Arabidopsis thaliana: one gene and its partner. The protein of the gene in region 2 interacts with the protein of the main gene of each other region in a pairwise test. Each region holds a gene or a part of one and is shown on either strand. Other genes may lie near its edges. The genes, in order: UAP56a and MOS11.

Evidence for each region.
Region 1: the proteins of MOS11 (region 2) and UAP56a interact in a two-hybrid assay, tested with the Arabidopsis thaliana proteins (one study listed by BioGRID).

Annotation. Positions count from the first base shown.
Region 1 is NC_003076.8:3,545,554-3,561,952, forward strand, and holds UAP56a (DEAD/DEAH box RNA helicase family protein), read left to right. Parts: upstream 1-7,542; 5' UTR 7,543-7,644; intron 7,645-7,761; 5' UTR 7,762-7,780; coding exon 7,781-7,893; intron 7,894-8,125; coding exon 8,126-8,226; intron 8,227-8,547; exon of another isoform or gene 8,548-8,683; coding exon 8,684-8,856; intron 8,857-8,955; coding exon 8,956-9,187; intron 9,188-9,267; coding exon 9,268-9,386; intron 9,387-10,070; coding exon 10,071-10,127; intron 10,128-10,219; coding exon 10,220-10,404; intron 10,405-10,512; coding exon 10,513-10,657; intron 10,658-10,747; coding exon 10,748-10,831; intron 10,832-10,925; coding exon 10,926-10,989; intron 10,990-11,082; coding exon 11,083-11,093; 3' UTR 11,094-11,465; downstream 11,466-16,399. Other genes in the region: AT5G11140 (phospholipase-like protein (PEARLI 4) family protein), read left to right, coding at 1-515; VAMP713 (vesicle-associated membrane protein 713), read right to left, coding at 928-946, 1,076-1,162, 1,358-1,521, 1,679-1,869, 2,072-2,291; APT5 (adenine phosphoribosyltransferase 5), read left to right, coding at 5,221-5,311, 5,392-5,502, 5,731-5,823, 5,909-6,058, 6,150-6,208, 6,362-6,433; GLR2.6 (glutamate receptor 2.6), read right to left, coding at 11,708-12,280, 12,499-12,905, 13,016-13,331, 13,443-14,776, 15,749-16,022. UniProt on the Arabidopsis thaliana protein: ATP-dependent RNA helicase involved in pre-mRNA splicing. Required for the export of mRNA out of the nucleus. In addition to ssRNA and dsRNA, binds dsDNA, but not ssDNA.
Region 2 is NC_003076.8:622,923-639,321, forward strand, and holds MOS11 (Protein MODIFIER OF SNC1 11), read right to left. Parts: upstream 6,359-16,399; 5' UTR 6,247-6,358; coding exon 5,921-6,246; intron 5,798-5,920; coding exon 5,711-5,797; intron 5,619-5,710; coding exon 5,481-5,618; intron 5,374-5,480; coding exon 5,310-5,373; intron 5,209-5,309; coding exon 5,179-5,208; 3' UTR 5,143-5,178; intron 5,051-5,142; 3' UTR 4,112-5,050; downstream 1-4,111. Other genes in the region: AT5G02760 (Protein phosphatase 2C family protein), read left to right, coding at 2,455-2,746, 2,822-3,183, 3,341-3,577, 3,674-3,895; GSTL1 (glutathione transferase lambda 1), read left to right, coding at 8,035-8,051, 8,156-8,294, 8,401-8,487, 8,587-8,685, 8,778-8,883, 8,961-9,037, 9,128-9,235, 9,328-9,405 and 1 more; GSTL3 (Glutathione S-transferase family protein), read left to right, coding at 9,955-9,971, 10,133-10,204, 10,311-10,371, 10,566-10,652, 10,738-10,836, 10,910-11,012, 11,095-11,171, 11,268-11,375 and 2 more; CDL1 (Protein kinase superfamily protein), read right to left, coding at 12,623-12,886, 12,977-13,368, 13,444-13,633, 13,719-13,900, 14,344-14,452; PRR7 (pseudo-response regulator 7), read right to left, coding at 15,361-15,480, 15,584-16,253, 16,351-16,399.

The DNA of each region.
Region 1 (16,399 bases), 2.9 Mb from region 2:
CTCTTCAAAGCATTTTCGACAAGTATGGAGACATCACATCGAATTCCAAGCTCCAATCACTCTCCACACGAACATATCACCTCGAGACACTAGCGGAGGTTGTTATCGAACTCCAGTCAACGCCTCTACGTCGGTTATCTGAATCACGGGCCACTGAGATTCTAGCAATCGTTGATGACATAGAAACGGCAAAGATCCGAGTAGGTTGGCTCCGGTCCGTTCTTGAGGAGGTTCTTGAAGCTACAAGGTATTTTGACAGATGCGAAATGGCAGTTATGGAGAAAAAGGCCGGCGAGCACCGTTTATTGCTTGCAAAGCAAGAAATGGAACTGAGTTTGAAGAAGCTTGCAGAGAAAGAGAAGGAGATGAAAGAGTTTAGGGAGAAATTAATGAAGACAACAGGGAAATTGGGTTCGCTGGAGATGAAACGGACGTGCCTTGATAAGAGATTAGTGTTTCTGAGATCTAAAGTCGAGAAGTTTCAAGGTCAATCTGTTTTTCAGGACATTTTGTGAAGAAGTTTTTGTATTTCTTAATAGTCTTTTGCGTTTAGATTTTTTTTTGTATAGAGAGAACTCGTCTTTATTCGTTGAATGAAAAAACAGATTCTTTTTCATTTTGTTGACTTTTTTTCGATTCAGATTTGTTCAGATACAAAAAGATGAAAAACTTTCACCATAATATAAGTTGATTCAATTTTCGATTGAATATGTTAGTCAAACACCAAATTTCCATGTGGCCAATCTTCAGTTCTTCACCATGTGACTAGAACTTAATAAGTTGGAAAATTCTTCACAGATCAAGCAAAAGCTAAAAACGTCATCATTTAATACAACTTTTAACGCCGCAGCATAAATTGCAAACAGACAGGGGATGATCATTAACAGTGAAATATCACACTTACAAATAAATAATCGACTCTGTAATTCAAAGCAATAAGCAGAAGCTGAAATTGAAAGATCACATAAACACACATTTTAGACAAACGCATATAATCTCACATTCCAAAATCGAAGCAGAGTCTGATAATTCCCAAGAAGGGAAAGGTGAAGAAGATAAGAGAATGTCTTCTTACTTGAAACAAGAAGGAAGACTTGGCCCATGGCAAACAAAGGCCATCGCGATGTACACAACCAAAGCTAGTACAAGTATCAGAGCAATTCTGCAGAAAAATAACAAGCATCATGAGCAGAGAAAACCAACAACAAAAACTCCACCAAGAATGTAAAATTGTAAAATATATTTTCAAACATACAGTATGTAGTTATCAATTCAACACGAAATTGCTAGTTTTTGTCTCGTCAAGTTTATCAGGTAAACAGGTTTGTTGGGAAGAATTTTAGATCAGAAAACTTACGTAAGCTTGACATTTCTCCACCACATAATGGTTCTGTAACGACGAGCTTGCTTTCTGAAACGAAAAGTGTTGCCTTGCATATTTTCGGTTTTATCAACTAGCAACTCCAAACGCTCCCCTCTATCCAAAACTTTATCAATATTCTCAATCATCACATTTCGAACCTGAAAAACAAAATCAACGTCACTAGTAATAGTTAGTAATAAAGCTACAATACTGCATAAAGTATCGAGCAAATCATTATGTCCATGTATGTGTCGTAATAGGCTATATCAAACATATACTTTAGACTTCAAAAAAGAGATGATTTTGTAACATTACCTGACTCATTTCACCTTTGATTCTGCTCATCCTGTCTGCATTAGGATCATTGGAATAAAACTCCATCTGTTGACTCAGAACTCTTGAAAATTCATCATTCATGGAATAAGCTTGAGCTGAATGAATAGCTCGGCCATATGTTTTCACAAACCTCTGATGAATATCATCCAAAAACGCAAACGGAATATTCCCTGCCGCAACATCAGAGCAAAATCATAAGTGACATAAACCTAACATCACCAAATTGCTCCCAGAAAATTATCAGCATCTTTCTATTGAAACAACAATCAAATCCCCCAGAATTGATATAAGATCTCAGCAGAAATCGAAGACACTCAAATACAAGAGCCAAATCATGTAAAATTGATGAAATTAGCGAGAGAAGCAGCTTACTTCCGGCGGTTTCGTCGGCCATACAGAGAACGGTAAGACCATCTGTTCGTTTCACATGGAAGATGTAGCGATCCTGAGAGTAAGACATATGGCTATCGCTATCGTTTCCAGGCAACTTCTCCAAAATCTGCTTCGAGATTGAGCTAGCGTTAGTCGAAGTAGCGCTAAACTCCGATAACACCACCGTTCCACGAGCCACCAACGCAAATATGATCGCCATCTACTCCGGCACCTTGTTCCAGCTCACTTCTCCCTGTAAATCTCAGATCTTGAGAACAGCGATTAACAAAACACCCCAAAGTGATTCGATTAGAGTGTAAAATCGGAGAATTGTTCAACGCCGATTTGTAATCAAAGAAGCATCACCATACATCTGAAATTGAATTATTGAAATGATTTTGAGGAACCCTACAAATTGAAATTAGGATATCGGAGAAGCCCGCTTTACAGTGAAAAAAAAAGTTGAATTTTGAAAATATCAGGCGCAACAAAAATATCTGGCCTCAATCTAAAACTCTTGGGCTTACATATAAATTTGATATCACAAGGCCCATTATTTTATTTTTAGGATTTTTGGGCCTATATATACAGAAACTCTTGGGCTATTTTCTGTATGGGTAAAAAAAACAAGCAGTAGTATAATCGCCCATCATGAAGCTAGTTGGAATAAATCCCTGTATAAACAAAAGTCAAATGAAAGTGTAAAAAAGCTGTGAATGATTTTTGTTATAAAGCTATAAAGTTAGACAACGAGATTTGGGATATCTCCTCGAAGTTGTAACTTTATTGTTATTCTATCTCTCTACTTCAATTTTTTTCCTTTAGGTTTGTGGTGGGTTTCTCGGTACGAGGTTCATTTACCCTCCCAACTATACAATAGACTTTTGTTTTTGTTTTTTTGCTTTTCACCTTAAATCTTATCTACCTCATATTCTCTAAATGTAATCAGTGGAGGAACGATCTAATTAACAATATACCTATCTAGAACACGACCTAGATAATTTACATCATTAGAAATATTTTGTTGGTTAAGCTTTTAGATATATACTATGCTAGCTTTAACAAAAAAACAAACAGAAAAAACTGTGTTAAGAGAATTTTGTAAGCTTTTAGAAAAATACTATGTTAGTTGAAATTCTATTGTCCCAAGTGTTGTTTGGACTGTTTTGTTTCTTTGCATAGTTCATGTAGTGGGCTTGTTTGAGTTTTTCTTTATCGGAGAAAGATTATTCCTAAGTGAAGTCTCTTTGTATGTTCTCTAGTGAAGCATGAAAGACATCACTGTAAATTGAATCAAAACAATACTTGTTATAGTGGAATTCTTGTGAACTATGATCATATAGATGTTAACTTCACAAAATCTTGAACTTTGAAAAAGTTTCACTTGTAATTATACGTTTGTTATTTATTTTGGAAGCTAAGTGGTTTTTGAGGTCGAGAAATCATTTAGGCGGACCTAACATGGGCTAAGGAAATCGTAATAAACACATGCTTCACGAGGCTAGTACTTCTTGAACTGTGTATTTGGCGGCCTCGTGCCATGCAAACAGAGCAGTATATAGAATTTTCATAGAAGCATAGAAGATACCAATAAAATATCTTCGGTGAACTAGCACAAAGCCACAAACTTCAAATCAGTACTTCACATTTCTGACATGAAATTTTGTTTTAACATATATCGTTAAAATTGAAATTGCTCATGAAAAGGGGTATGATTTAACTTCTCAAAAACATGGTCTTCACTTATATATGAAGTCACCAATCCATTATGCTAATTTCTTACATATTAGCAATTATTTTGGGTCTTTATTTATTGAACTCTTATTTATACCCGTTTTAATTATTAGAAGAGTCTAGATCTTTCACACGTATTTAAAAATAATATTTAAAATTTATTCTATATCCTTTACTAATCTATATAGAGCTGAACTAAATTATAGAGTTATATGATTATATCTTAAACCTGAATTCAAAACTAACCCCGTACCATACAAAAGAAATTTTGTTATACAAGTTGGCATGTACCACTCAATTCTGGACGCATATTGACTCTATTGCTGATTTATTTGTATTCGGTGATCTGCTCCCCATGTACTTTTTTACTTACGCTTTGAATTCACATAAAAACCTGTACTACTACTATCTAAATGTTATAAACGCAATCTACAAAAATCAGTACTCGTACAAACACAAACAGTGTAATGTAGGAGACAAGAAATATAAAACACCTCGATTTAAGGAAAAAAGAGGTAACTAAAACTAACACAAAGGCTCCGAATGGTGACTGCGTTTTGCGGTGCGGGAGAAGTGCGGTGCGGTTCAAATAGTAACGAAAATACATATGTAGAGATTTTGATACTGTTACAGCACTGTTGCAGTGCGGTTTTAGGTGCGATTTTGGTTAACATTAACAGCCAAAATCTATTATCCCTACGCCTACCAATATAAAGTTGTAAAAACTTATTTAATACACATTACAGTTCACAAAACTTTTAATATAGTAAAAAAAAGAGAGGCAAGTGTAGCTGTGTATGGAGGAGACAAGACACAAAACATGGAATGTGAACTAGTTTTAGGAGAATGGGTACTTCTTTTTATAGAAAAATGTTTTTTATTTTTGGCAGAGTATCGAATCTCTTTCCTTTATAGGTCTTTTGATCGAGACTCTAGTAAGAAAGAGCTAAAGGCCAAAAGATTCTCTCGAAGATCCATAAGATTTTCTTTTCTTCTTCGGATCTTTCTTCACTCTCTTTAATACAGTATCCATTAACGCTTGTGATTGTGATTTTATTGCGGTTCATAAAAACCTGTGTGCCGACCCAGTTCGCGCGTGTGGTACACACACTCTTCTCCACTACTATTAAATATTAAATGCTCTCTCACCCACTTTCTATACAACTGGTGGTGAACAGAGGAACAGAGCGAGACAGAGACATAGAGAGAGAGAGAGAAGAGAGAAGATCTGATCTCATTTCATTTCATTTCCTTCTTCTGCGAGGGAAATTTATTTGTTTCCTACTTTGAATTCTTCCCCATTTACTCTCTCAAGAGAGAGAGAGAGTGCGAGAGATTAATACACACAAGTGAAGACGCTCCTTAACTCTCTCAGAATTGAAACTTTAGTGAGAAAGAGAAGAGAGAGAGAAAAGATGTTTGCGGCGGAGAATGGTCTCAAAGGAGATCCAAGGCTTGAAGCTATATCAGCAGCCATTAGGGTTGTCCCTAATTTCCCTAAGAAAGGTCTTTAAAACTTCTTGTTCCTCTGTTTTTTCTGTTCTTTGTTCTGTTTTTGCAATTCTCTGAAGTTGTTTCTTGGACAGGGATTATGTTTCAGGACATAACTACGTTGTTACTGGATCACAAGGCGTTTAAACACACAATTGATATCTTCGTAGATCGTTACAAAGACATGCAAATCTCTGTCGTTGCTGGTAAGACTCCTCTGTTTTTTTTCCTTTGTTCTTCCTTATCCTCTCATTTCTTTACTACAGTGTTTCGTCATCAAGTTTGTTAAGTAACGCCAAAAACTATGTGTCTTTCTAAAATGGGTTTACATCATATAAGCAAACAAAAGACAATTAAAAAAAGGAGAAACAAGAATTGTCTTTTTCTTCATTAAGAAATTAATATGTTTGTTTACATCCAAATGTATTATATAGGAGTTGAAGCAAGAGGTTTCTTGTTTGGTCCTTCCATTGCATTAGCCATCGGCGCAAAGTTTATCCCTTTGCGTAAACCAGGAAAATTACCAGGTTTTTTTACTGCATTATCTGTTTTGGTTATTGTGATAGAGAAGCTCTTGAGATTCTGAAAAATTGGCGAAACTATAAAATATAGGGAAAGTGATATCGGAGTCTTATGAGCTCGAGTATGGGCATGACCGTTTAGAGATGCATGTTGGCGCTGTTGAGCCACGCGAACGCGTCATTATCATTGATGATCTTGTTGCTACTGGCGGCACTCTTTCTGCCGCAATGAGCCTATTGGGTTTCTTTCTTTCTTCTTGTTTTCTTTTTCAGTTTTTAAAGAGAATTTTTTGGTCTTGAATTGTAATGTGATACAGTTTGACGTTTTACAGAGAGCCAAGGAGCTGAAGTTGTTGAGTGTGCTTGTGTTATTGGCTTGCCTGAAGTCAAGGTGAGTCACATTTATCTTACTTGTCTAAGAAGTTATCTCTGGTTTTGTTCTTTTGAAATGATTTCTAAAATGTAGTGATAGAGTTAGTTTTTTTGTTATAATCTCAACTCAAATTTGCTCATTGAGTTTGTGAAAATTTTGAATTGTTTTTAGGGGCAACACAAGCTCAAAGGGAAGCCGCTTTATGTGTTGGTGGAGCCTAGTGGATTAGATGAGTTCTGTTAGGATACATACCGGTTACTTCCGGTTCAGTTTTCTTTCCCTGCAGAGTTCATGTTCTTTTTTTCAAAATTTCTAGGGTTCCAACTTCTTGTATTCGTTCTCGTTTATTGATCTCTGTAGATTTTGAATTTTGATGTGTACTTTCCACGGCAGTGGTTGGTAAAAAACCGAGATACTGAAAAGAGTCTTTACATTTCCCGGTTTGGTGGAATTTCTGATGGATCACTAACTCATGTTAATCAGTTTATAATAACTGTAATCATTAAAAGGGTAAAGATACGTTCGTAATTTATGCGGGAAATCTAAAAAGTACAACTAGTAGGTTTACTAAATTTAATGCTGATATTACTGAGCACTGATAAAGTTGGTTGTATTCTACGACAAAACTATTCATTACTGCAATATTGGTCCATATTTTTGCTTCAGCACTGCTGCAAGTTTTTCTTTGTTTCTCCCTAAACTTAACAACTTACTTCACTGATTTCAAATTATAAATTGAAAATCGTTAATAAAGTTTTCATGATACAAATTATTACATAAGCAAACTACTGTATGTGTTATTTATTGAAGACTATAAAACAATAAAAGTGAAAGTACACAATGGCTTTCCTTACAAAGCTTTATTTGCTAATAAACAGAAGAGTCTGATGGATAACTTGAGAACTCAGCAGAGCTGGTTAGATCGCGAAATCGGATTAGGGTTTCGAAATCTCTGAATTGCAAGAGTAAAAATATCTGAGCTTCGTCCAAACGATTCCAAAGAGAGTGAAAGATATGGTTGAACTCAGTCTAAATTGGGTTTTGTTTTAATTAATGGGCCTACAATTTTGTTGGGTCCTTGAAACAAAAACATTGTTATTAAGGGAAATGAAATATCTTAACTAAACCAATTTGTTATCTATTGTGCTCTACTGTTCTGTTCGTATTGACTCGAACCCACTAAACCAAGACGAGCCCTGACCGTCATTGTCTAAATTGACTCGAACCCACTAAAGAAAAAAAGAAAAAAAAACTTAGATAATAATTGGCGCAGAAGGGCCGATTAATAAAAACTTTAGGCCCATTAAAGTAAAGCTTATTGTCAACCCTATCCAGTCTCCTTGTATATATTTATTTACGACACCAACGCGGCGTTGGTGATTCATTCTCTTCAGTCAGAGATTTCGAAACCCTAGTCGATTTCGAGATCCAACCAACTCTGCTCCTTATCTCAGGTAAAATTCTCGCTCGAGAACTCAATTGCTTATCCAAAGTTCCAATGGAAGATGCTTTCCTACTGAATCTTAGGTTAATGTTTTGGATTTGGAATCTTACCCGAAATTTCTCTGCAGCTTGTTGAATTTGCGAAGTATGGGAGACGCTAGAGACAACGAAGCCTACGAGGAGGAGCTCTTGGACTATGAAGAAGAAGACGAGAAGGTCCCAGATTCTGGAAACAAAGTTAACGGTGAAGCCGTGAAAAAGTGAGTTTTATGATTTCCTCGATCTGTTTCATGAGATAGTGGATGTTTAAATTTAGGGTTTTCTTAGATTACTGCTTGATAACAACCGACTAAGTTCTTCAATTATCTATGTGTTTGGTTAGTTGCTTAACTTTATGACAATTGACTAAGTTCTTCAATGCTAAAATTCCTGGAACCTACCCAATATTAGACGGTCATGTGTTTATCATCTTGTATTTTCTCTTTGTGACAGAGGGTACGTGGGAATACACAGTTCTGGATTCAGAGACTTCCTTTTAAAACCGGAGCTTCTCAGAGCTATTGTTGACTCTGGATTTGAACATCCATCTGAAGGTTATTACAATGAAATACACCCTACCTTTGACTTTTCTGCCTTGCCTTTCACCATTCTATTACCGAATGATATTGTATAATTTACAGAAGTGACTTCTCCATAAGATGTTTTAGTTGTCCGGAAACTTTTAATTATATGTACTTCGTCTAGTTTTGAGAAGATATGTTGGTTAAAGATATTTTATACTTTATCTTGGTCCTTTGCTTATCATCTAACTAAATTAAAAAAAGTTTGTGTTGAGGTCAAATTCTTTTTTATTTCCTGTTATAATGGTTTTTGTTTTCTTTGTTTATTAACGTTTCACTGATTACTTTTTCCAGGTAATAAACGATATTTCAATCTATTGGTTTGGAGTGAGCTTAAACATGTGCTAAAGCCACCAATTTAAAAGATATGGAGGTTATCATCTACTTATAAAGGCTTTCTTCGGTACAATTTTCTTTGGTTCTCCACCAGTGCAACATGAATGTATCCCTCAAGCTATCTTGGGCATGGATGTCATCTGCCAAGCAAAGTCTGGTATGGGGAAGACTGCTGTGTTTGTCCTGTCTACTCTACAACAGATTGAACCATCTCCTGGCCAGGTTTCTGCACTTGTCTTGTGCCATACAAGAGAGCTAGCTTACCAGGTATGACCTTCTTGTTTCACTCAGGTTCTTGGCTTATAGTTTTGTTGTACGTCTTCTTCCTCTAATGCTTTTTGCCTTGATGCTGACAATTACTTGCAGATCTGCAATGAGTTTGTGCGATTCAGTACCTATCTGCCTGATACAAAGGTTTCGGTGTTCTATGGTGGAGTCAACATTAAAATTCACAAAGACTTGCTGAAGAATGAATGTCCTCACATTGTTGTTGGTACCCCTGGTCGGGTGCTTGCACTTGCCAGGGAGAAAGATCTCTCTTTGAAGAATGTGAGGCATTTTATTCTTGATGAATGTGATAAAATGCTCGAGTCACTTGGTATGCTGATTTCTGACATCATTATTACATCGATCCCTGAATAATTTTATGTTTTAACACTTTAACTTTTTTTTTACCAGACATGCGAAGGGATGTGCAGGAGATTTTCAAGATGACTCCTCATGACAAACAAGTAATGATGTTCTCAGCAACGCTCAGCAAAGAGATACGCCCAGTCTGCAAAAAATTTATGCAAGATGTAATGTTCCATGGCCAATTCTCTCTCCCTTTGCAAGTCTTCTAGTTTTCAACTATTTTTAGCCTTCTATGAGTGATCATAGCATTAGTTGAGCGTCTTCTGCGGTTCTGCCCTGGAAAAGCGGCAACTGATCTCTCAATGGGTCTCAATCCAATAATGGTTGGGTAGTTTGTAGGGAACGAGAACTGTGAGTGTGAGACTCTGTAGCTTTGGTATGGTTTCTATGGGTGATTATAGCATTATTTGGGCATCTTCTGCGGTTCTGCCCTGGAAAAGCTGCAACTGATCTCTCGATGGGTCTCAATCCACTAATGCTTTGGGTAGTTTGTAGGGATCGAGAACTGTGAGTGTGAGCCTCTGTAGCATTGGTATGAATGAGTGACCATTGCACAACAGGATCTTCTTTCGTCATTACCTTTTATTCAGTTTCAATTTCTTTGCAATTCTAGCAGTGCTGGGTGGGTTTTGGGTGGGGTACTGTGTTGTCCCAAGGTTTCATTGTGATTGTATGGGCCTTAATGTTCCGAGCAATATCGCTGTATCATAGCAAAACTCACATCTATGAAGAGAACCTGGTGGACGAGGATCTCAGATCAGGGGTTTTACATCCATCTTCACTTTTGTAGTGTAAATCATTTCCTGAGAAAAGCTTGCTAATTATTACCTGATATCTATTCCTTTCAGCCAATGGAAATATATGTCGATGATGAAGCCAAGTTGACTCTTCATGGGCTTGTCCAGGTACTCTTATCTGGTGTTAGGTCTTCTTATTCAATGGAAATATAGTTTGTTGTTTGATACTTAAAAGACCTTTTACTGTCATACTGTAACAGCACTATATCAAACTGAGCGAGATGGAGAAAAACCGGAAGTTGAATGACCTTCTTGATGCGTTGGACTTCAATCAAGTTGTCATTTTTGTGAAGAGCGTGAGCAGGGCTGCTGAGCTGAACAAGTTACTGGTGGAATGCAATTTCCCCTCAATATGCATCCACTCTGGAATGTCTCAAGAAGAGAGGTCTGTACATTCTCTTCAAAATTCAATGTTTTTGAAGGACCCTACCTGCTCTTAAAGCCCTCATGGAGAGGAGTCCAATTCTTAAGGCTAATACGATATGTTATGTAGGTTGACTCGATACAAAAGTTTCAAGGAAGGGCACAAAAGGATCCTTGTGGCGACTGACTTGGTAGGAAGAGGGATTGACATTGAGCGTGTCAACATTGTCATCAACTATGACATGCCAGATTCTGCTGATACCTATCTTCACAGGGTAAGTATATAATACTGAAATTTATTATTTGATTGTTGATCTCACTGAAAGGGCTCTTGTAACTTTACCGTTTTGCTGTGTATGGTATAGGTTGGCAGAGCTGGTAGATTTGGAACCAAGGGTCTTGCAATCACATTTGTTGCATCTGCTTCAGATTCAGAGGTTCTTAACCAGGTATGGTGTTCAATCTTTGTAATAAGTCCACGGAAAACTCCTCTTGAAATTGAGTTGGATATTTAGTAAAGTGGCAATTATAAATCTTGGACAGGTACAAGAGAGGTTTGAGGTTGATATAAAGGAACTTCCGGAGCAGATTGATACTTCAACCTACAGTAAGTGTGAAATCCCTTACCAATTGTTTGTTTAAAAGCTTGGTTTTGTCTGGTTGTGATATTAATGTTGTTTCTTCTTCTTTCTTTGTTCAGTGCCTTCTTAAACAAGTAGCACGTCCCTCAGGAAAGAAGCTCTTCAGATTTCAACCTTGTAGGTGTTCGAAGGGTGATGGGGGTTCACAACTATCTCTCGCTCCGTTTGTTTTAGTGTTTTCTATGACGACATTTTTTTCCATATGTTTAGAACGTCTGTTGTACTCTTTAAAGGAGATTCGAGTCACTCTCCAAATCGCACAGTTAAAAGCTGTCCAGTTTTTTGTACAAGAGATTATTATGTTTGAAATATCAGGATTTAGTCTCGACCTGATTACTGTGTTCCTTAGGAATCGATCTATTATCAATTTATCATGGTGTTGCTAAGAATCGTCATTCATCAGCGTTACTTCCTTCATGTGATGCTTTTTTTTTATAACACATTTCATTTAGTGTGGAAGAGATACAACACGTATATATGGTTACTTTATATATTGAAAAGTTTATATCCAAGGAACAATGGTTAGGGGAAAAAGGCAACTTGAAGGAGTCAATGTGTCCTTGCCTATTTGTCTTTTGACTTTTTAAGAGGCAAGTCTGTTGCCTTTGCATGAGAAAAAACTCAAAAAACAACACGCAAAAGAACATAATAATTAGGTTCATTCAGAAAGACTACGATCAGAGCCTATGCAGACTTAATCCTCGAGAATAGTGCAGCTCTTCGGGTGGGTATTGTTTTTGAGGTGATCAGATTTCTACGGTGAACCAAAGTTGGGTCGACTTCCACAATAATATCTACTTCATTTCGATCTCCAACATTAACTTCATCATTCAGAAGCTGATCTTGATCATCGGCTTCATTTAATGCTGGACCAGGTGGCTCAAGGACTTGATCATCAATTGGCGGACTAGTCGGAGCTCTCATGTTATCATCTGTTGGCTGATTAGGTGGAGCTCTCATGTTACCATCTGTTGGCGAATTATTAGCATTGATCTCGCCGCTTTTGCTTTCTTGGCGGTATCTTCTACAAACCAACATGGCTAAGAGTAGAAGCATAGAAACAACAAAGACGATCGTAAATAGAGCTTCAAAGCTGTGGTGATCGAGCCGGATTGGAGAATCCGATGTGGTTGAGTCAAGACAATGTTTTTCTCCGAGGAGCCACTTATTCTCTATAGCTTTCATGGTCTCTCCCTCCGTTATATTCAAGATCTGTCTTGAAAGATCTGGCACCAAAGGAGATCCCAATGGAAAGGCCTACAAAAAAAATGGAGATCCAAAAACACATTTCAAAATCATATTAAGAACAAACTCGATGGTTTGAACATATTTTCGTAGCATGGATAGAGTCTATATTTTATTCGTAATGCTATAGACCAATACTTTTTAGTGGTAGCTAAAAGCGGTTTGTACTAGTCCCGCCCCATCCTCTGCCACTATTCAAAGCCTAGATAAAAGTAACCAGGTTTACTTACAAAGCCAAAGCCATCAGCCTTAAAGGTAGGCTCGATAATGGTATATTTTGAGCAATATTTAGCCATGAAAAGCTTGACATAAGCGACTTCGTCGAATGCAGCATCAATACCACCATTGCTGCTCTTTTTAAGAAAAAGCTCATGCATTTCCTGAGGAGTATCATAAGTCTTTAACCTCGATTCTTTGTAACCCATTTGTTTCAGCCTTTCGAATGTAAAGGAACCAGTTTGATATCCAATGTTAACTCCACTGTTCCTCAGATCATCCATGTGTCTCACTGTTGGTCGAAGTTCTTGAACCGTCAGCATCGATGTCAATGTTGCTGTGTAGCTCTGAGTCAGAATAAGCAACACAAAGCACCAAACTACCACAAGAACCCTTGTGAAAATGCTCTCCGATGGCCTCACTATAAAAAAATGTGGTTATATCAGATTCTTTTTTCAAAGATTTGCAAGTAATTGGAATGATTAGAAGCTGAAGATGTGTGACAACAAAAAAAAAAAAAAAAAAACTCACTGTGTGCGAAAAAGAGAGTCGAAAATGAGAAGTAGAACACATTAGATATTTTATTAATAATGCTCTGTTTCCTGAAATCACCACTTGCTTGGTACTCAAAAATCCAAACCATGATCCCAATGTAGAGAAAAGAAGCTGCAGTGAGGAACCAGAGCTCCCTTGTTAAAGGCTTTAAGAAGACCCATTTTCCTTTTTCCCTCTCATCCTTGACGGGTACCACGACTACAATACCCGTCTCCGAGTATGGCAACGCGAAATCTACGTATGTAGACCGATTAGCTAAGATTGTGGTATCCCCTACTGCTCCATCAAACTCCTGTAAGAACAAGAAAAAGTTTTATAAAGGTCTCATGATTTCGGCTAATAATTTACATTTATGATCAAAAAAAGAAAAAAGAAAAAACTTAGGGATCAATATGTAACTTACCCCAAGAAATACATGATAAACCATTTCGTCATAACTTCCACGGGGTTTTCCATCAGGAGTTTCAAAGGGTATGTACTCATAGGGGACAGCATAAGGCATTTGTCTCATTGCCGTGTCGAAAACATCTATGCAAAACCCGGTGATCGTTGGAGCATTAGTATTTGCATCTTTTGTTACCTCCACAAAATTATTGAAACCATCCTTCTTTGGAACTGCTATTCGCAGCTTCTTTGCGTTTGTTGGGAATTCCCAACCTTTAGGCACAAAAATAGTGTCCCCTGGCCATATTATCGGTCTAAGGCGGTGCGAGCTGTGTGATATTTTAATGCCTGTTTGATTCACTCTTAAGCTCTTCACTAGTCCTACTTTTGATTTCCAAAATCCAACTGTTCTTTCCCCACTTTCCTCTATATTGACTATCTTGAAAGTCGTCGCCTCTAGCTTTCCGTTTTTTAGCTGAAATCTTCCGGCAACGCCTTTGAAACTGACTGTTGCCAACGCTTGAAGAAGCTTGGGACCAGAGAGAGCAAAGCTGAGATCATCAAGATCTGTCCCAGTATCATCTCTTGAAGTGTTTCTTTTGGTCTGACTGAAACTCATGTTTACGTTACTACTGATTTCCTCAATTGACATTGCAAGTGCTGTGGCCGTATCATAACCCCAACATTCAAAATTGTTTAGCTCTTCTCCTCCGAATCTTTTTCGCCAACGAGTTTCAAGATACATTAGCTCTTTTGATCTTGAGAAATATGTCTTGACGCCCAAGACACCATGCATATTCTCCAAGCTTGATTCCCCCATTACACTCATTTGATCAGCTATACCATTTGTGACAATCCATACATATCCTTTAGTCATCATACCAATCTCTTTTGCTATCGAGAAAAGCCTCGATCCGAGATCAGGCAACATGTGCACGATAAAAACCCTAGTGGGCATGGTCATTAGTTTGTAAAGCTCTTTCTTGACTAGGTCATCAGTGGAATGGACTGATATGGCACTTCGGTATCGGATACGAACGTTGATCTCTTGAAAAGCATCAACTAAGTAAGGAAGAATACCTTCTCCGAACTCATTGTCTGCATAAATAGGCACAACTTCCCTCCATCTAAATGACTCTATGATGGCGCTAATGGCGTGCACTTGAGATGAGTCATCGTGTGTAGCTCTGATGAAATATGGACTACGGAGAGAATCAAGAACAGGGCTTGACGCAGAGAATGAAATTATGGGAACTTGAGATTGATTTCCGAGGTTGATTAAAAATGGTGCTTGCATTGAATTCCCTGGTCCTATAATGGCCACCACTTCCCTCTTCTTTATCAAGTATAAAGCTGCAAAGTTTAAGTTAATATTTCCTATTTGAGAAGTCATTTCTCAAAATGTGCTTAGAAATGACTAAAACATAGCTTCTATAAAATATGATGTAGAGAGGACTTGAGATTTGATCCGTGGGATCCAATTCAAATTGCCTTCAAATTCAATACATGATATACAAATCTATCATGTCAAACACTATTATTTTCTAACTATAAAATTCTAGAATTCCAGTTTATTCTTATATACTAGATCTATTTTAATTTTGATGTCTCTTTCATTGAATTTCATGAAAAATATATAGATTTTCTCATGTTTTAAATTATTGCTGATTTTGGAACGATCTTTACTTTCGAATCAATAGGACTCATCATTTGCCAATTTAGACAACACAGTCACTTCCTAAGACAAGGATCTTTAGATCTATCAGAAGACTTAGAGCATCATTATTGGTTGTTTCTTAGATTAGTTCGTAGGATTTTTTTTGGTCATTGATTACTAAGAACATCTCATTTTAACTCTTATATAAGAGACATTTTGTCATTTTGTCTCTTATATAAGAGTTAAAAGGAGATGTTCTTATCCTAAGAATTAATCTAAGAGACAACCAATAATGATGCTCTTAGACAACGTTGACGATTATAGAAAGAACTAGTCCTTCGTTAATCATTGAGATTGTTCAAGTCACTATATGTGGGACTTTGAGCTCAACTTGCTGCGATCGCCAGCTAGTTTTTATTTAAAATACTTCTACTAATTTAAAAATTATAAATTGTAATAATAAAAATTAAATTTTAATAAAAATTATAAAATTATAAAAAATAAATCAAAAATGAATATTATCTGAAATGAATTGTAATAATATGTTATATGTATAGAAAAATTAAATTTTCCATGTTTTGTTTTTTGTAAGATAGTACGTTAATATATGTAAGATCAAATTTCATACATGACTGATGAATGTTCATAACGAAAGATAAGAAGAGTACCTGAAGCTGCAGCACCAACAACAGTTCGTTTGGAATCTCGGATGTTGAGGACAATCCTCGTCTTGAAGCCATTATGAGTGTTATAGAATTCAGAGAGAGACATGTTGATAGCTCGTAAGCTCAAAGCTGCTAATGTCGCATTAGTGTCAAGAACAATTCCCACTTGAACTTGTAAAACTTCCTGTTGAGATTTCCCGAGTAATACTAAGAAGTTGATAAAAAATAAAAGCCATAAAGGAAGAGCACGAGATAGAAGATGATTGAATAAAGACATAACTAAGATTGCATGATTACAAGAGGAGAGACGATCGAGATAAATAAATAGATAGTTTTGAAGAGACCAATTCCGCTTATTAATTAATTACCTGTTGGAATTTGCAAGTAGACTATTAGTTTAATACATACTTTATACTTAAGAGATAATTGTTAATACAAAGATGATGTATAGAGAAGACTTGTTTTGGTCATTTTGGATAGTTAACGCGTTACTCAAATGAGGCAAAGACGTGGTCTTCCAAAAACATACAATATAGGTGATACAAATGGATAATCATTTGTGAATGGTTAGTTAATAAAGCTTAAAGAGCACATAAACTGGAAGCTGCAATAATTAAGATTGGTTTGACTTGGTTTGTTGAGTGAATGTACTCA
Region 2 (16,399 bases):
ACTGAAGTAACTCCATAATCAATCATTTACATATCTATCATATACATTAATATTGAAAGTGTTTTGATATTGGTATTTCTCTATATGAAAAAACAAGACAACCCGAGACATTTTAACTTCAGATTATAGTGTGATATCGAATACCAAATTGACCTTTCTATCGAAGATAAACCTTAATATAGATAAAGACATATAGTTACTAAAGAAGTAAGTTAATGAATGTTGAATAAAAACACCAATGGTAAGCTAAATATTAAACAATACAAAAGAGAAAACAAAGCTAATAAGTAAGAAGTAAGAAGCTAAAGAGATAGACTGACATCCATGCTCCCTCAACCAAAAGACAAAACACAGTGCATCAATGGCCCAGCTGTCACCACAACTCTTTTTTTTTTTGATATAGGAACTTGTTTTGTTTTCTATTCTATAATATTTATTTATTCTTCTTTCTTGTTATCTTTTTAAATCAAAACGATCGAGACTGAAGTTGTTCAATTTTTTTCGTAATAAGGATAGGAAATTAATTAAGGATAGAGAGCACATGAAAATACACTGTATGTACTGTAATGGTGCATTCAAGGACCCTTCAATACGTTCCAAGGCCACATGTGATTCTCACAAAATGGTTCAATATTTATGAAAGTTATTTGTGAATATATGTTAAGATAAAATGTACCTGGACCATTCTTTCTATTTGTATTAGACTATCTTACACGTGATTTTCTTACTCTTTTGATTTGACTTCAATTAGATCTATATATTGCATCAAACTTTTTACCAAATTATGCGTCAAGTCACACCAATTGATGAGGTTGGCCTTATCGAACTAGTGGAACCGTCATATGCGAAACCAAATATAAGAAATGAATGAAAGACCTTTCAACAAAATTAATAAGCAAGTAGAAGTAAATCCAATATCAATATAACAATTGGTTAAACCTAAATTATATGCATCCAATACGAAAATTCTTTTTTTGGTATCTTTTAATCCGTTTATTATATTTGTGGAGCCTAAGTTGCGGATCCACTTGTATTCCTTATTTGAATCATTGTTATCATTTCTCATTGTTTGTGACTCGTGAGCTAGAAGAAACAAAAACAAAAGGATAACGTAATTTTGATATTTAAAGTAAACCACTATAAATCATTGTGTGTGTGTTTTTTCTTGTTTTAAAAGATCGAATTAGGGAGCCTAACATGTTTTTGTCTCAAGAGATTATTATCATTAAAAAAAACAAGTGGAAGTGGAAGTTGTGTAACCCACTTGTTGAATTCTTAACTTCGAAGCACAACAAAAAGATAGACGAAAAACGAAAACTCGATCTAACTTCGACATATGCATTAGATAACATATAGAAATTTAAACAATCTCGTTGATGAAATTGGTCTATCAACACACGACAGTGGTTCTCTCTACAGTAGCATCAAATCGGTGGATCCTTATGAACAGAAAAAACGAGGAGGGACAGAGGAAGGCCAATGAGGGGTCATGCAAAATGGAACTTAGCAAAAGTACCAAAAAGATCCATCCTCTTTGAAAATTCATTTCAGCCCCATAATTATCCATGACATGAATTTCGATCTGAATCTCACAACAAGTAAGAGATCAGCTTTTGATAACATTAAAGAAAAAGGTAAAAAAAAGAAAGACGAGAGACTGAGAAAAGGGCAAAGACCTGTAGGGGTTAAGACAGCTAAGAGTGTTCCTCAGTCGCCCCACAAATGTCTTCTCTCCTCTCTCTTCAGTCTTTCTCAGCTCTCAAATCTTTAAATGGTTCCAAGTTCAATGCTCCCAAAACCCACGCCCACACATGCATCCTATGACCTTTCCTTTTCTATCCATTTTCTTCCCACAAATTACCACTTTGCAAACAAAAGCCAAAAACTCATTTACAAGATGAGTTAATAAAGACACTAACACACAACCAATGTGAAAACAGACGTTTACATGAGATATTGTTACCTCTAAGAAGTCATTAATCATATAATGAGAACATTCTTGCTTCCTAAGTTTTTACAAGATTATTAACCTCTAAGAAAGGAGAGACACTTTTAACGCAATAATAACTACATGATGTTATAAATATAGGAGAGAGTAGAAAAGAATATGACAGCCCTACTAAGACAGAGAATCATCATCGAACAGTAAAGAGGAGAATCTCTGAATATCCACTTTAAACTACTGCCCTCTTGTCTTAACTCTCAGAACCATTTAATTTTTCAGTTATTTTGACCCATACCCTTTTTGGCCTCTTTCCCTGCTTTCCAACACCTTCACACTTACTCTAGGGCTTCCACGGCTATATATATATGGTCCCTTCCTTAAACTTGTATCTCATAATTCACAACCAGCACTGCTACTACTAGTTTATCATTATTCCATCAATTTATTCTATATAGAGTTCTTCTCTGTTTATATTACGATATTGCTCGAAGATTACATACCTGAGAAAGATGGTTAAACCCTGTTGGAGAATAGGTGCCGGTATGGAGAGAAGTAAGATCAATCCCACAAAGGTTGATGGTTTGACATGGTACAAAGATCTTGGTCTTCACACCTTTGGAGAGTTTTCCATGGCAATGATCCAAGCCAACAGTGTGATGGAGGATCAGTGCCAGATCGAATCAGGGCCGCTTACATTCAACAATCCGACAGTTCAAGGCACATTTGTTGGAGTTTACGATGGCCATGGAGGTCCAGAGGCTTCCAGATTCATTGCAGACAACATCTTCCCCAAGTTAAAGAGTAAGACACCGACTTTTTTTATTTCCTTTATTGTTGAATCTGCCAGGCACACTAACACTGGTCTCACATGAACAGAGTTTGCGTCCGAGGGTAGGGAGATTTCAGAGCAGGTGATCAGCAAAGCATTTGCCGAGACAGACAAAGATTTTCTCAAGACAGTGACGAAGCAATGGCCTACGAACCCACAGATGGCATCAGTGGGGTCATGTTGCTTGGCAGGAGTGATATGCAACGGATTGGTGTATATTGCAAACACGGGAGATTCCAGAGCTGTGTTGGGCAGATCTGAGAGAGGTGGAGTGAGAGCTGTTCAGTTATCTGTAGAGCACAATGCCAATCTTGAGTCTGCGAGGCAAGAGCTATGGTCATTGCATCCTAATGACCCCACCATTCTTGTGATGAAGCACCGCTTGTGGCGTGTGAAAGGCGTTATCCAGGTAAACATTCATACATGATAACGCATCTGATAACCTGCACAGAGTTTTGCTTCATCAGTTTCTATGAAATACAAAAGCTTAAGAAAATCATATATTGAAGCCTATCTTGTGTAAGGATGTAAAACTGACTAGCAAATGTGTTATGACCTTTAACCAGGTCACAAGATCCATAGGTGATGCATACCTCAAAAGAGCAGAGTTCAACAGAGAACCTTTGCTGCCCAAATTCAGACTACCAGAACATTTCACTAAGCCAATCCTTAGTGCGGATCCATCAGTCACCATTACGCGGCTTAGCCCACAAGATGAGTTTATAATTCTTGCTTCAGATGGGCTTTGGGAGCATCTTAGCAACCAGGAAGCTGTTGATATTGTGCATAATTCCCCTCGACAAGTAAGTTCAATGCCTAACCCATATACAAATACGTTACATACTAGCACAATGCACACCAAGAACTATTCGTTAATACTAATACCTTCACAATCACAGGGAATAGCAAGGAGACTACTTAAAGCTGCATTGAAGGAAGCAGCAAAGAAAAGAGAGATGAGATACTCAGACCTAACAGAGATCCATCCTGGTGTAAGAAGGCATTTCCACGACGATATAACCGTTATTGTGGTCTATCTCAACCCCCACCCGGTCAAAACCAATTCTTGGGCTTCACCTCTGTCAATTAGAGGGGGATACCCGATGCATTCAACATCATGAACAGATCTTACGGCAAAAACACTTCCTGTGTCAAGGGCAATAAATTGGAGCCAGGGTCAAGAAAAGAACTAGTAGTATAGCTAGAAACAATATTAAGTTATGAGATCTTTGATATGTTCTCCACAAGAAAACATGAATTCTCATGTACCCCTGTATGCAAAATTATACACGAGGGTACTTGCATGCAATATCATCAATGTCAACGCTGGTAAAATTCGAAAGCGTTGCAACATATTGGAGTTTAGGCACAAAACAGTAGATAGCCAAGAAATGTGTTGAAACTTAACATTACATTCCCTTTATAAAAGTTTTCTGGCGCTTCATTCAAAATTAACAGAAAGCAAGTATCAACAAAAGTTTATCTAAAATCTATTACAGAAACAAAGAAACTGTGTAGCATCAGAAGCCAGCAAAAACGCAGTCCCACGAACAGAGAATTTAGAATCTGAGGCTCTCTTTCCTTCAACTGCCATAGAGACCAGAGATATGGAAACCAACAAGTACATCTATAGTTCTAATGATGTCTTACATGACAAAGAAATTCTGAAGTAGCGGCTTGAGAGGTCATATGAAATTAAGTAACCTAAGAACGACACATGTTTATGGGATCCATTTTGCATGCAATATTCGCAATCAAGCACAGAACACCAGTAGACCAGCTAAATTTCGTAACCAAGACTAAGAAAAACTAGCAAAATAGGCACAACTCAAAAGTAATCAACACTTCTAATTTCTAACTAGTTCAAAACAGTAAAAAAATGTCTCCCTTACTTAAATATTTGCTGCATGCAGTACAAATTTTCAATTGCTGGTGCTTGTGCTTGATACGAACATGCAATACTAAAAGGACCATCCACATTCCAATATATTAAAACGAAATAAAGTTATTAATCAAACTATACTTACCACTCCAAGAACCTGCAACATGGAAAACATCAATACCAGCCACTTCAGAATTCCTAGGTCCTAAACACATTGATAATTGTCATTTCAGACAATCAGAACTATAGGTTACTTATTGGTTTCTCAAGATCTCATCTGGTGATTGCTCCACGACCGAACTTAGTAAAGATACTACACACATGGACTTCTAATTCAGAAATAAAGAGAGAATGAAGCAGCCAGAGAGGGACTCATAAAACGCTAGCACACTACCTGCCCATATAACAGATTATGGAGTCAAATACGAGAAAAAATCGTATCAACAAGAGTTTGCAATGCAATAAGAATTATCTGGAAAAACTCACCTAACTACAAAGACGGAAAAACTTTATTGAGGAACCTTAGGCAGCGCTTCCTGATACAGCTGCCTCCTGATGAAACAAAGAGTTCAACAAGAGATATCATTAGCTTTTCTATCAATTCTCTCATTCTATCAGATGGACGACACAACAGAAGTTAAAAGACTGTTTACCTTGCCAATAATTTGCTTCTCAGGTAAATCTGAAGATGCATCTGCTGAAGCCTCTTTTGAAAACCTAATGATGGGAAATTCACAAACCACAAAAATCAATAATTAGAAAGCATGGCACAGTACTTCAGTTCTCAGGGACTAGAAGAATTTGAGGTTGCATAGAAAAAGTACCTCAATGCTCTAGCTTTGCGCTTATTTTCTTCAGCAGAATCAACTTTAGTCTCTTTTCCAAAACGAGCGAGCCTAGCTTTCTTCTTTGCCTCTTCCTCAGTCTTATCAGTAGTAGAGGTCGCAGAAGGAACCCCAAATCTGTTCAAAATACAAAGCGAGTATGAAACTCCTTTTTCTCTAAACCCAACCAATAAACAACTATCAAGTACAAAGAAAGTATTGTGACATACCTATCAGCTCTTGCTTTTCGCTTCAATTCCTCTGCTTTCTTCGTTCCCTCTGAGCCATTCACCACTGCTGCAGCTACAGTACCAAACCTGCACCGAAGGTGAAATTCCTTACAACATAGGTTTGACAATAAGTATAAAAAATTCCGTAACCCTAATTTTCGAAACCCCTAAATTCGACGGAATCTAACGAATAAATATTAAAGTCTTTACCTCTCAGCACGAGAATTGCGCTTCTCCTCTTCGGTCAATTTCACCGAAACACCAAACCTCTCAGCACGTCGAATCTTCTTCTGGATATCATCGACCGGAGAGATATCCCCAGAATCAACACCAGCCGTCGATCCAATACCATTAGAGTCGGTTTCTTCCTTCTTTTCACCAGAATCTGAAAATCCCTTGACTTCTCCGTCGAGAATGTCGTCAGTACGATCTAACTCCGTAGTGTTGAGGTCTACAATTTTCTTAGGGTTTTCACCAGTAGATAGCCCTCCGCCATTCACCACCGTAGCCGTGACCTTCTCTCCGTTGGTCGCCATGGAATCGTAGCTCCGTTCGAAATTCGCACTTGTGGAGATTCGTAAGATATCTCTTTCGCGATTTTAGCAGAAGACTATTGTAGGGTTAGAGTCGAACCGTCGAGTCTCGGGGACTTTTAAAGCCCTTCGACACGAAGGGTAATATAGTCAGATTAAAACTTGATTCTTATGGGCCGGATCGGATCTAAATTATAGTCCGATACATTAAGCATCCGAAATAAGGGGCAATATTGTCTATTTAAACTTGCTTACAATCCGGGTCTGATCTAAATAGCCCGGCCCAAATAAAAAATAAAACGACATCGTTTCATAATTTCATTTTTTTATGATTTAATCTTCTCCACCACGTGACCACGTCCACGAATTATCGGCCGGCGAAGTAGGAATGTAGGATTGGAACTTTGTTAACATTCCCGTCTTGTTTCATCCGTTCTTGAATATGTATGATGTATGCATGTCTCGTTTCAACACTTGTTCCTCCTTTTAAGCATCGTTGCACTTTCTCTTAGCGCCGGATTACTGAGAACGAAGTTTAGTGTAATAATCAACCAAAGCAATCAGTGGGTATTACTCAAAGCATTTAGTAGATGTGTTTTAAGTGTGGATGAGATAATGTTTTGCAGACCTCTTTAGTTTTTGTTTGGTCGTTAAATGCTGCAAAAGAACTTAAAGATCTCCCAAACTTTCTTAATATATTTTTATGTCAGTATGTGTTATGTGTTTTGCATCTTTGTTTGACCGTTTGGTATATTCTGTGACTATGTGAAAATCTACAAAAGTCTTCTTACGATCGGAAAATATGAATACAAACTATAAAAGCATTTAGAAGAAAAAAGGTTTTTTAAAAAAAAAAGAAGAAAAAAAAAAGAAAAAAGGTTTCTTTGGTTCATTAATTTCACCTCATATTTCAAAATGAAATCTGTATAGACAATGACATGTAAAATTTTTTAAATTTAGATACGTTCAAAGAAAACATAAAATTTTGATTGTATCTTCTGATACAAATATTAGTAACCACTAACCAGAAGCTTAAGGTCTACCAGAAAAAGAAAGAAAAGAAAGGCATGAAAGAATTATAATATTTTCATATACAAAAAGAATAATTATTTATACGATACGAATTGAGCATAGATGATTCGGTGAGGTAGCATCCAATGGCGTGGTTCACAGACTGAGCTTTTTGACCAGCATTTTGTTTTTGTCCACTTGTCATAATGAAATTTCGACGAAAACAAAAATAGTTTTTTTCGTTGTGTGTGTGTCATTCCAATCGTATTATTATAACATTACAAGCATTACAAAAAGATATCACAGTAATTAACAAAAATAGTTCTTTCAATTGAAATATTTAGTCATCTACCATTTTTTCTTCTTTTAAACTCTTTTTATTTGATATAAAGAAAAATCATCACAAAGCAACCAAAAAAAATTAATATGATTATTAGTATTCACGTATTCAACTGATTAGACTTCACGTATGTGATTATTAGTATTCTCGCAAACAAAACTAGTAGAAGCTTTTGATCAATATCTTTGACCTTCACAACAAAAATTAGAAAGTTCAACGACAGAGATTAATCAAACGCTGACGTACGTTTACCTTTTTCTATTGGTAGTCACCATTGGGTAAGCATGAACCAAGCCTCTTCCTAATTCCTAATTCCAATTTCCATTGAGTATATATATAATATATATACGTAGTCTTATGTGTTTGATCCATAGTTCCTTTAAAACATCATATCTGCAATAATAATCCCCTGAAGAAACAACTCTTATCAAATCCTCTCCATGGCTCTATCTCCTCCGTAAGATCCTTTTTGTTTACTTTATGAGGTTTCTTGATTAGTATAAAGTCGTTTTTTCTTGTTAAATCTATATTCATCTCCTTGATTTTTTTTCCTTTATCAAGAAAAATTTTCGTAGAAGATCGTCAGGTTCCGCTCGATGCTACCTCTGATCCACCTGCTCTGTTCGACGGAACCACAAGGTTGTACATAAGCTACACTTGCCCATTTGCACAACGTGTTTGGATTACAAGAAACCTCAAGGTACTTGTTTTTTATATATTTATGGTATATATGTATGTAAATTGAGATCGAGATGAAAAATTTATAAGCAAGATTTGTTGATTTGTTTGACATTGGGGAGTTTTAGGGTCTGCAAGATGAGATCAAATTGGTTCCTATAGATCTTCCTAATAGGCCAGCTTGGTTAAAGGAGAAAGTTAATCCTGCAAACAAGGTGCCGTTTATTTTTATGATTAATCCTTATAAACTAATTAACGTTCTTTCAAAAGTGACAATAGAAGACTCTAAAAGATTGTGATAATGATGTATGTAGGTTCCTGCCCTTGAACACAATGGAAAAATCACTGGGGAGAGTCTTGATCTAATCAAATATGTCGATAGCAATTTTGATGGACCTTCACTTTACCCTGAGGTATGACCTTGTTGGCATGTTATAGACTTGTTCTTGTCATGTAAGTAACAATATTTCGATGAGATGTTGTTTTTTTGAAATTTTTGGTCTAGGATTCTGCAAAGAGAGAGTTTGGTGAAGAACTGTTGAAATATGTCGATGAAACATTTGTAAAAACTGTGTTTGGCTCTTTCAAAGGTGACCCGGTTAAAGAAACAGGTAAGGTTGATTTTCTTTTGTGTCTTGTCAATTGTTTTGGGCATCTGAAGGCTGAAACATGTGTGTTTTTGACGCAGCATCAGCCTTCGATCACGTGGAAAATGCTCTGAAAAAGTTTGATGATGGTCCTTTCTTCCTTGGCGAGCTTAGTTTGGTATATTAGTCTTATCAAAATGTTAAGTGCGAATGAACCTTTTTTGAATGTGTCACTATGGTTACAAAATTACTCGATTTTGTTTGCTAGGTTGATATTGCATATATCCCATTTATCGAACGCTTTCAAGTCTTCCTCGACGAAGTTTTTAAATATGAAATTATAATCGGACGGCCAAATCTAGCTGCTTGGATTGAGGTACACGTGTGATATATGCATGTCAACATGGTAAAACTTTTGTATGATTTAGCTGCATACTTGATTGCTTTACCTCAATGTGTGTGGTGCAGCAAATGAACAAGATGGTTGCATATACGCAGACCAAAACCGACTCCGAATATGTTGTCAATTACTTCAAGAGATTCATGGTAATTTCGCTTTTTATAAACGTTTAAACTTTTGTTTATTTGGACTCAAATGCCCTTTTTACTTTAATGTTAGGCTTTGCAATTTTGTCTTAACTCAATTTCCGGTTAACGTTCTAAAACAAAACTAACCGATTCCGGTTTTTCTTTATTTGCAGTAAAAGTAACAAATCTGTTGGACTTTGGTAACGATGCCATGATGGCTTATGAAGAAGAAATATTACTACTTGAGAGTGTTATAAATTTCTGGATTTGGTATTGTACATTTTGTGATAAATAAGAGATATTTGGTATTGTTTACTTTCATTCATCAAAGAGAGAGACATGGTTTATTCCGGATAATACAAATGTCAATAATAAAATGGGCTTAATACCTTATTGAATACCTTATTGAATTGTATCAATTACGGCCCATTATGAGTTATGGAGTTCCCGACAAAGATCACAAAACTGCCACGTGTACGATGATGACTGTAATTTCGAGAAACGTAAACGCTTCCACACAAAAAAAATCCGTAGTTTCTTCTACAGAATCAGATCTTTGTATCGTCAATGGCTCCTTCTTTTATGTAAGGATCTATGTTCTTATCCGGAATTTAGAGTCTTTATTGAGTTTGATCGATTTTGGGATTATAAGTTTCGCAAAATTCATGTTTTTTACATTAAGTCTATTCGATTTCAGCTGTATTGGGAATTTAAGTTTTTCTGTGGCTTGATTCTATTGAGACAGTTTTGTAGAAGATCGTCCAGCTCCGCTTGATGCTACTTCTGATCCACCGTCTCTCTTCGACGGAACCACAAGGTTAATCTTCAATGTTGCTTCTTTTATGCTTTTGGTTTTAGCTCTGTTCTGTAGTTTATTGGATTTCCCTTATGTCTTAACCTCTTATTGTTTTGTGTTACCAAAGGTTGTACACAAGCTACGTTTGCCCATTTGCTCAACGAGTTTGGATCACTCGAAACTTCAAGGTTTAACAGCTTCTCCTTTGTACTAGTCTCTCACCTTTAACAATATTTTGGTCGTATTAGGGATATTTGAAGCCGGATTGGTTATCTTGTTGAAGTTTGTTAATTTGACGTCTCACAAACTTTTATCTTTCTTGCATATGTGTACTCTATTTATAAAGTAGTTGGATTCTTTGGTTGGTTTCCGGTGGTTGTAGGGTTTGCAAGAAAAGATTAAACTTGTTCCTTTGGATCTTGGGAATAGGCCTGCTTGGTACAAGGAGAAAGTATATCCAGAGAACAAGGTTTTCTATTTATAACTCACGAGTTCATATGTGACATTCCACTTTTGGTTATGACTTAGTGGAAACTTCTCGTTATCTTTTTCAGGTGCCAGCGCTTGAGCACAATGGAAAAATCATTGGGGAGAGTCTGGATTTGATTAAATATCTTGATAACACTTTTGAAGGGCCTTCTCTTTACCCCGAGGTAACACATCCCTTATACCGAGTATGGTTTCCCTTCATTATTCTCTGATTCCACTATTCATTTCCCTCTCTAGGATCATGCAAAAAGAGAGTTTGGCGACGAGTTGCTCAAGTATACTGATACTTTCGTTAAAACTATGTATGTGTCACTCAAAGGAGACCCCTCTAAAGAAACCGGTGAGACTTTAAACTCTTCAACTGTTTTCAGGGGTGAAAAGGCGACAAAATTATGACCAAAAATTTCATGTTCTTGTTTCAGCACCTGTGTTAGATTATCTGGAAAACGCTCTGTATAAGTTCGATGACGGGCCGTTCTTCCTCGGTCAGTTAAGCTTGGTATAAGCCTCACTAACCTTCTTTGAGATCATACATTTCGCCTTTTGTTTGTCTTAATTCTTATATGGACGGTTTGAATTCTTTGTTTTTTTCAAGGTTGATATCGCCTATATCCCGTTCATTGAAAGGTTCCAAACTGTACTCAATGAATTATTTAAGTGCGACATTACTGCCGAACGTCCCAAACTATCAGCATGGATTGAGGTATATATATATGCAATCTTCATTAAGTCAGAAAAGATTACACTTATCCTCACTAGGGAATGGTACTTAAGCGATCGGTGTTATGTTTGCAGGAAATTAACAAGAGCGATGGCTATGCACAGACGAAAATGGATCCTAAGGAGATTGTGGAGGTTTTCAAGAAAAAATTCATGGTAAGTCATACAACTAGGATATAATTTTTTTAACTGAACTACCACATGATTTTAATGGATCCAAATGTGAGTTGCTTCATATTTTCTTGGGGGTTAGAACATAAAAGCTATATATGCCTTTAAGCATCTGGTTGTTTAGGTGTGAATGTTCGTTGCTTTGGGTTAGTTTTCTGTTTTGGGAATGAAAACCGAGTCGGTTTAGCATCTGGCTCAGAGACAATCTCATCTTTCTCCAACGAGCGTTTTGCGACTTAGACGTTTTGAAAGCAAAGACCATGCACTAATCATCAGCTAGCCTATTACTATGGCCAAATGACTTGTTTAATACTTTCTCGGTTAATGGTCTATACTAAATGTGAGTCTAATTCCGGTTATATTCTTGCAGTAACTGTAAGCAAGCACGAAGCAGTAAAGTGTATGAGACCAAACCACCTTGTACGAACAGGTGGTCTTTGGATATGAAGAAATAAGATGTGTACTTGAACCTGATGATGCAATAAGATTTGTACTTTAAGCAGCAACAGCTTAATCTGTATTCTAGTGTTGATCAAATTATCAACCATTGACATTGTTAATATATTACTGTATGATAGTAATACTATCAAAATCTCACACATTAAGAACCAGATGATGCAATAAGGATAAGGTGTATAGTTAACTTGCAGCAACAGCTTGATCTATATTTGACTGTTCACCAATAATCAATCCTTGACATTGTAATATGATATCAATACAATCAAAATCTCACACATTAAAGTTTTGAAAACTATAGTACTTTAATATTTATACAATAACTTTGGAATCGAAGCAGACATCCTCAGTACAATAATGAGAAATTGTCACATTTGAAAGCAAGCGCTCAATAAACATTACATTAAACAACATCACCTATAACAACATTATAAACCGGCCTCTATATGAATCTATCTCTTCTTACACATATCTACAAGTAGCTCTTAAGCCATACATTCACACTTAGTCTGAAAATCATCCACCTTTCCTCTCCAAGAAAGACAGCACGGAATGGGTTTAAGCTACATAACTTACACAGCATTGCGGTTCTCGGGATTATTTTCAGACCCTCTTTGATCTAGGTGGAGTCCCTGGAGCGAAAAGGGATCCTTGGACTGGCTGAGCCAGAGGATCAAACTTTTGGGAGGCGAGGTAAGAAAGTGCAGTGACGACGTCAGCAATGAGAGGTCTAAGATTTGGCTGCTCTTGTACGCACATCGCTGCTACAGCGAGTGCTTGGTATAACCCTCGCGGAGGGTATTGACCTTGAAGCATTGGATCAGCCATCTGAGAGAATTTCCTCCTGTCTTTAAACAAAGGCCTTGCCTGACATAGAGAGCATTTCAAAGAATACAATTAGAAGGAAGAATCCGCAGAGAAAACAAAGTTTGTTCCCAATTTGTTTTTTTTTCTTACCCATGCGACTAGATTCTGTTCTCCAGTAGATCTTGAACTGTCTATTGCTTTCCGACCAGTTATAATCTCCAACAGAACAACACCGAAGCTGTAAACGTCTGATTTGAGTGTTAGCTGGCCTGTCATTGCATACTCGGGAGCACAGTATCCGTATGTTCCCATAACCCGAGTGGACACATGAGACTTGTCCCCAACTGGGCCAAGTTTAGCCAACCCGAAGTCGGATAGCTTTGGAAAGTAATCATCATCGAGCAAAATATTTGAGCATTTCAAATCTCGATAGATCACTGGAGGCATGGTTTTGTCATGCAGATACTCCAAACCTTTTGCAGCACCGGCAGCTATTTTCATTCTGGTGTTCCAGTCAAGTGGCTGCTTACCAGGTGAAATGTCTGAAATAAAAAAAGCATCACCCGATTGAAATTTAAAGACTTCTCATAGGCATGTGTGATCTTAGAAGCGCATACCGTGCAAATGATCTTCAAGTGAACCTAGGGGCATGTACTCGTAGACTAGAAGCCTTTGATCTCCATCAGCACAATATCCTATTAAGTTAACAAGATTCGGGTGATGAAGAAGACTCAACATGAGAACCTCGACGAGGAACTCCCTGTTTCCTTGTAAACCATTATGATCAAGTTGCTTGATAGCCGCTGTCTACAAATGAAGATATAATGACAGTGAGCTTTCACTACCAAGAAGATTCAAAAGGTTAAAACCAAGCAAAAAAAAGGGAAGGAACCTGGCTAGTGCTGGCCAAGTATCCTTTGTAAACTCTACCAAATCCTCCTTCTCCTATAAGACATTCTTTTCTGAAGTTTCTAGTGGCAGTAGCTAACTCAGAGAATGTAAACGTTTGTGCCACAATGTGATCAGAGCCTTTACTTTTGGATTCACTCAAGGACGACTTGGCCCTAGATTTCTCTACAAAAAAAGAAAGAAAAGAAAGCGATAAGAAGAAATAATTAATCAACACAAGCTGAGCATAATTGTCTCAAGGTCAATAATCAACAAATTAAAGTTCTAAGAATATAGCAAGATACTTAAGGATCTAGCAAGTCCCATTTAAGAGTTTAATCCACAACTTCCACTGGAGAGCAATAACAACAATTAACAGGAAAGAGACATGCAATAACACATCACTGTCAAAATACTAACACAGGTGTTACAGAGTAGTCAAAAGCTAGTGAAATGGAAGGAAAAAAGCAATCTTTAAACAGAAAGTCAAAAACCCTAATCAGCATTAGCAAACGATGATGGCTCACAGGAATCAGAAAGTTTTAGCAAAGGATAAAAATTTCCATAATTTAGTAAGAGAAGGTTAAACCCAGAATTAAAATTGGACAAAGACTATAAAGAGAAATTACCTGAAGTAGACACAGAACAATCAGAAGACTTCCTGTCGAGTTTGTGGTCACCGTTCCTCCTTGTCTTATTCCTCCCACTCGATTTCCCAGAACACGGGATCCAACCCATTAAGCTTCTCACGATCTTCTTCTTCTTCAAATGATTCTTCGTTTCGATTGTGTTCGATGATCTCAAAAGCGAGAGAGAGAGAGAGAAGCTTAGAGAACTTTGAAATGTAAAAAAAGCACGCCAAGCCAATCGCTGGATTTTTCGATTTTTCTCTTTTGATATAAAATATATTTTTAAAACAATTTAATTTTTGTGATACAAATTAATGTGAATGGGTTTGACTTTGACAAATAAAAATTAATTGTCAAAGAAAAAAAGACAAACAAAAATTATATTTTATCAAAGTAGTATCAACTAACTACCCCCATGGAATTTAAATTTCTTTTCAACACACAAAAAGAGATTATTTGATTGAATAAATTTCTTGTGTTGTAAGTTGTAACAATATTGAAATTGAACTTTAATAAGCAACAATCGTGGTCACCATTATAGTTTCCAATCATTTGGGTATAAGAGATTGATTATTCCTATTTTAAAATGGTGTTTATCAAAGACAGATTTTTTCTAAGAATATATATATTTACGATATAAGCTAAATGATATTGAAAGAGATAATGTTGATACAATACGACACCGTACTATGCACGGCTCCAAAAGCAAGCTTATACCAAAAAATATACAGAGAAGGGGTTATTGTTTTACAAGTTTACAACATCTACAAAGATTTCACTACATCCTGAAACCAAACCCTTCGTCCTAATTTCACAAACCAGACCAGACAACGACAATAATAACAAACAATCAAATGTCGTAGTGTCTTTGTTTCGTGAATAGTAGTAGTATTATCAAAGAATCAGACTTTGAAGGGAAAATGTTAAAACATGTGATAGATATATATATATAAGATAGATATGAGCACATTACTCATGTTTTTGGGCTGAGAAATAGTGGGTTTTGTTGATTTTCCGTTAGCTATCCTCAATGTTTTTTATGTCGTTATCATCAGTTGCAGCGGCTGTTTTACGCACAAATTGGCCTCGCACTCGAGGGCGTTGTTCTGCTAGTTTTTTCCGGCTTTGGTATCGTACCTGAGAAAGCCAAAAAAAAAACATTTTTGCGGTTTGCATTTGCTTTCGCAATTTACAAGAATACTTTTTTTTTCCTTTGTTATAGATTTGACCGAGAATTTACCTTCTTTCGGAAGCACCTCTCTTTTCTCTTCTGACGGAACTTTGTCAAAGCAGCTTCCCTTTGAGAGATCTTATTTTCATCCGCCAAGTTTCCGCTACCACTTCCACTTCCGCTTCCACTACCATCGCCATTTCCATTTTTGCCAGCACCATTATCACTTCCCATATTCATTCCTCCAGCATTCATACCGTTACTGCTTCCATATGGCCCATTACTTCCATGACCACTACCTGATACACTTCCATTCACACTGTAATTCACTGTGTTGTTGTTACCTTCAATCGTTTCGTTGTACACATTTGAGGATCCACATTGTGGCGGTAGCTTCTTCCTCTCAGCGACATGGACAAGGTTATAGGAGGCATGATTATTATGATGATCACAGGGTAAAGGCTGAAACGATGAATGCTTCACTGATGAAGATCCTGCTGAGCTTACTTTTGGAGCTCCTGGTTTTGTGAAAGCGTTGTTCTCAGTCGTGGAACTCATATCAAAGTTATTGCTACCGACATGTGAGCGATGATTATGGGGGAGACTCTCATTCATGTTCGAGTGACAATCATATGCTGCTTCAGTCTTTTTTATAAGATCCTGACTATTATTATCCTGAAGCGAAGTGCTTCCTAAGTTCCCACCAGAAATCTTATTGGCATTTGAGGCTGGATTATACCTGCACAAGTCCAACAGTCGATCTCATAGTTCTTCAATAAGGCATTCAAAAGGTTGTGTACGGAAGAAAAAACAGAGGTTTGATTCTAAGAAAGTACCTTGAGAAAGCTGAGCCCTCTGAACGCCTCAGCACATTCCGATCATCCC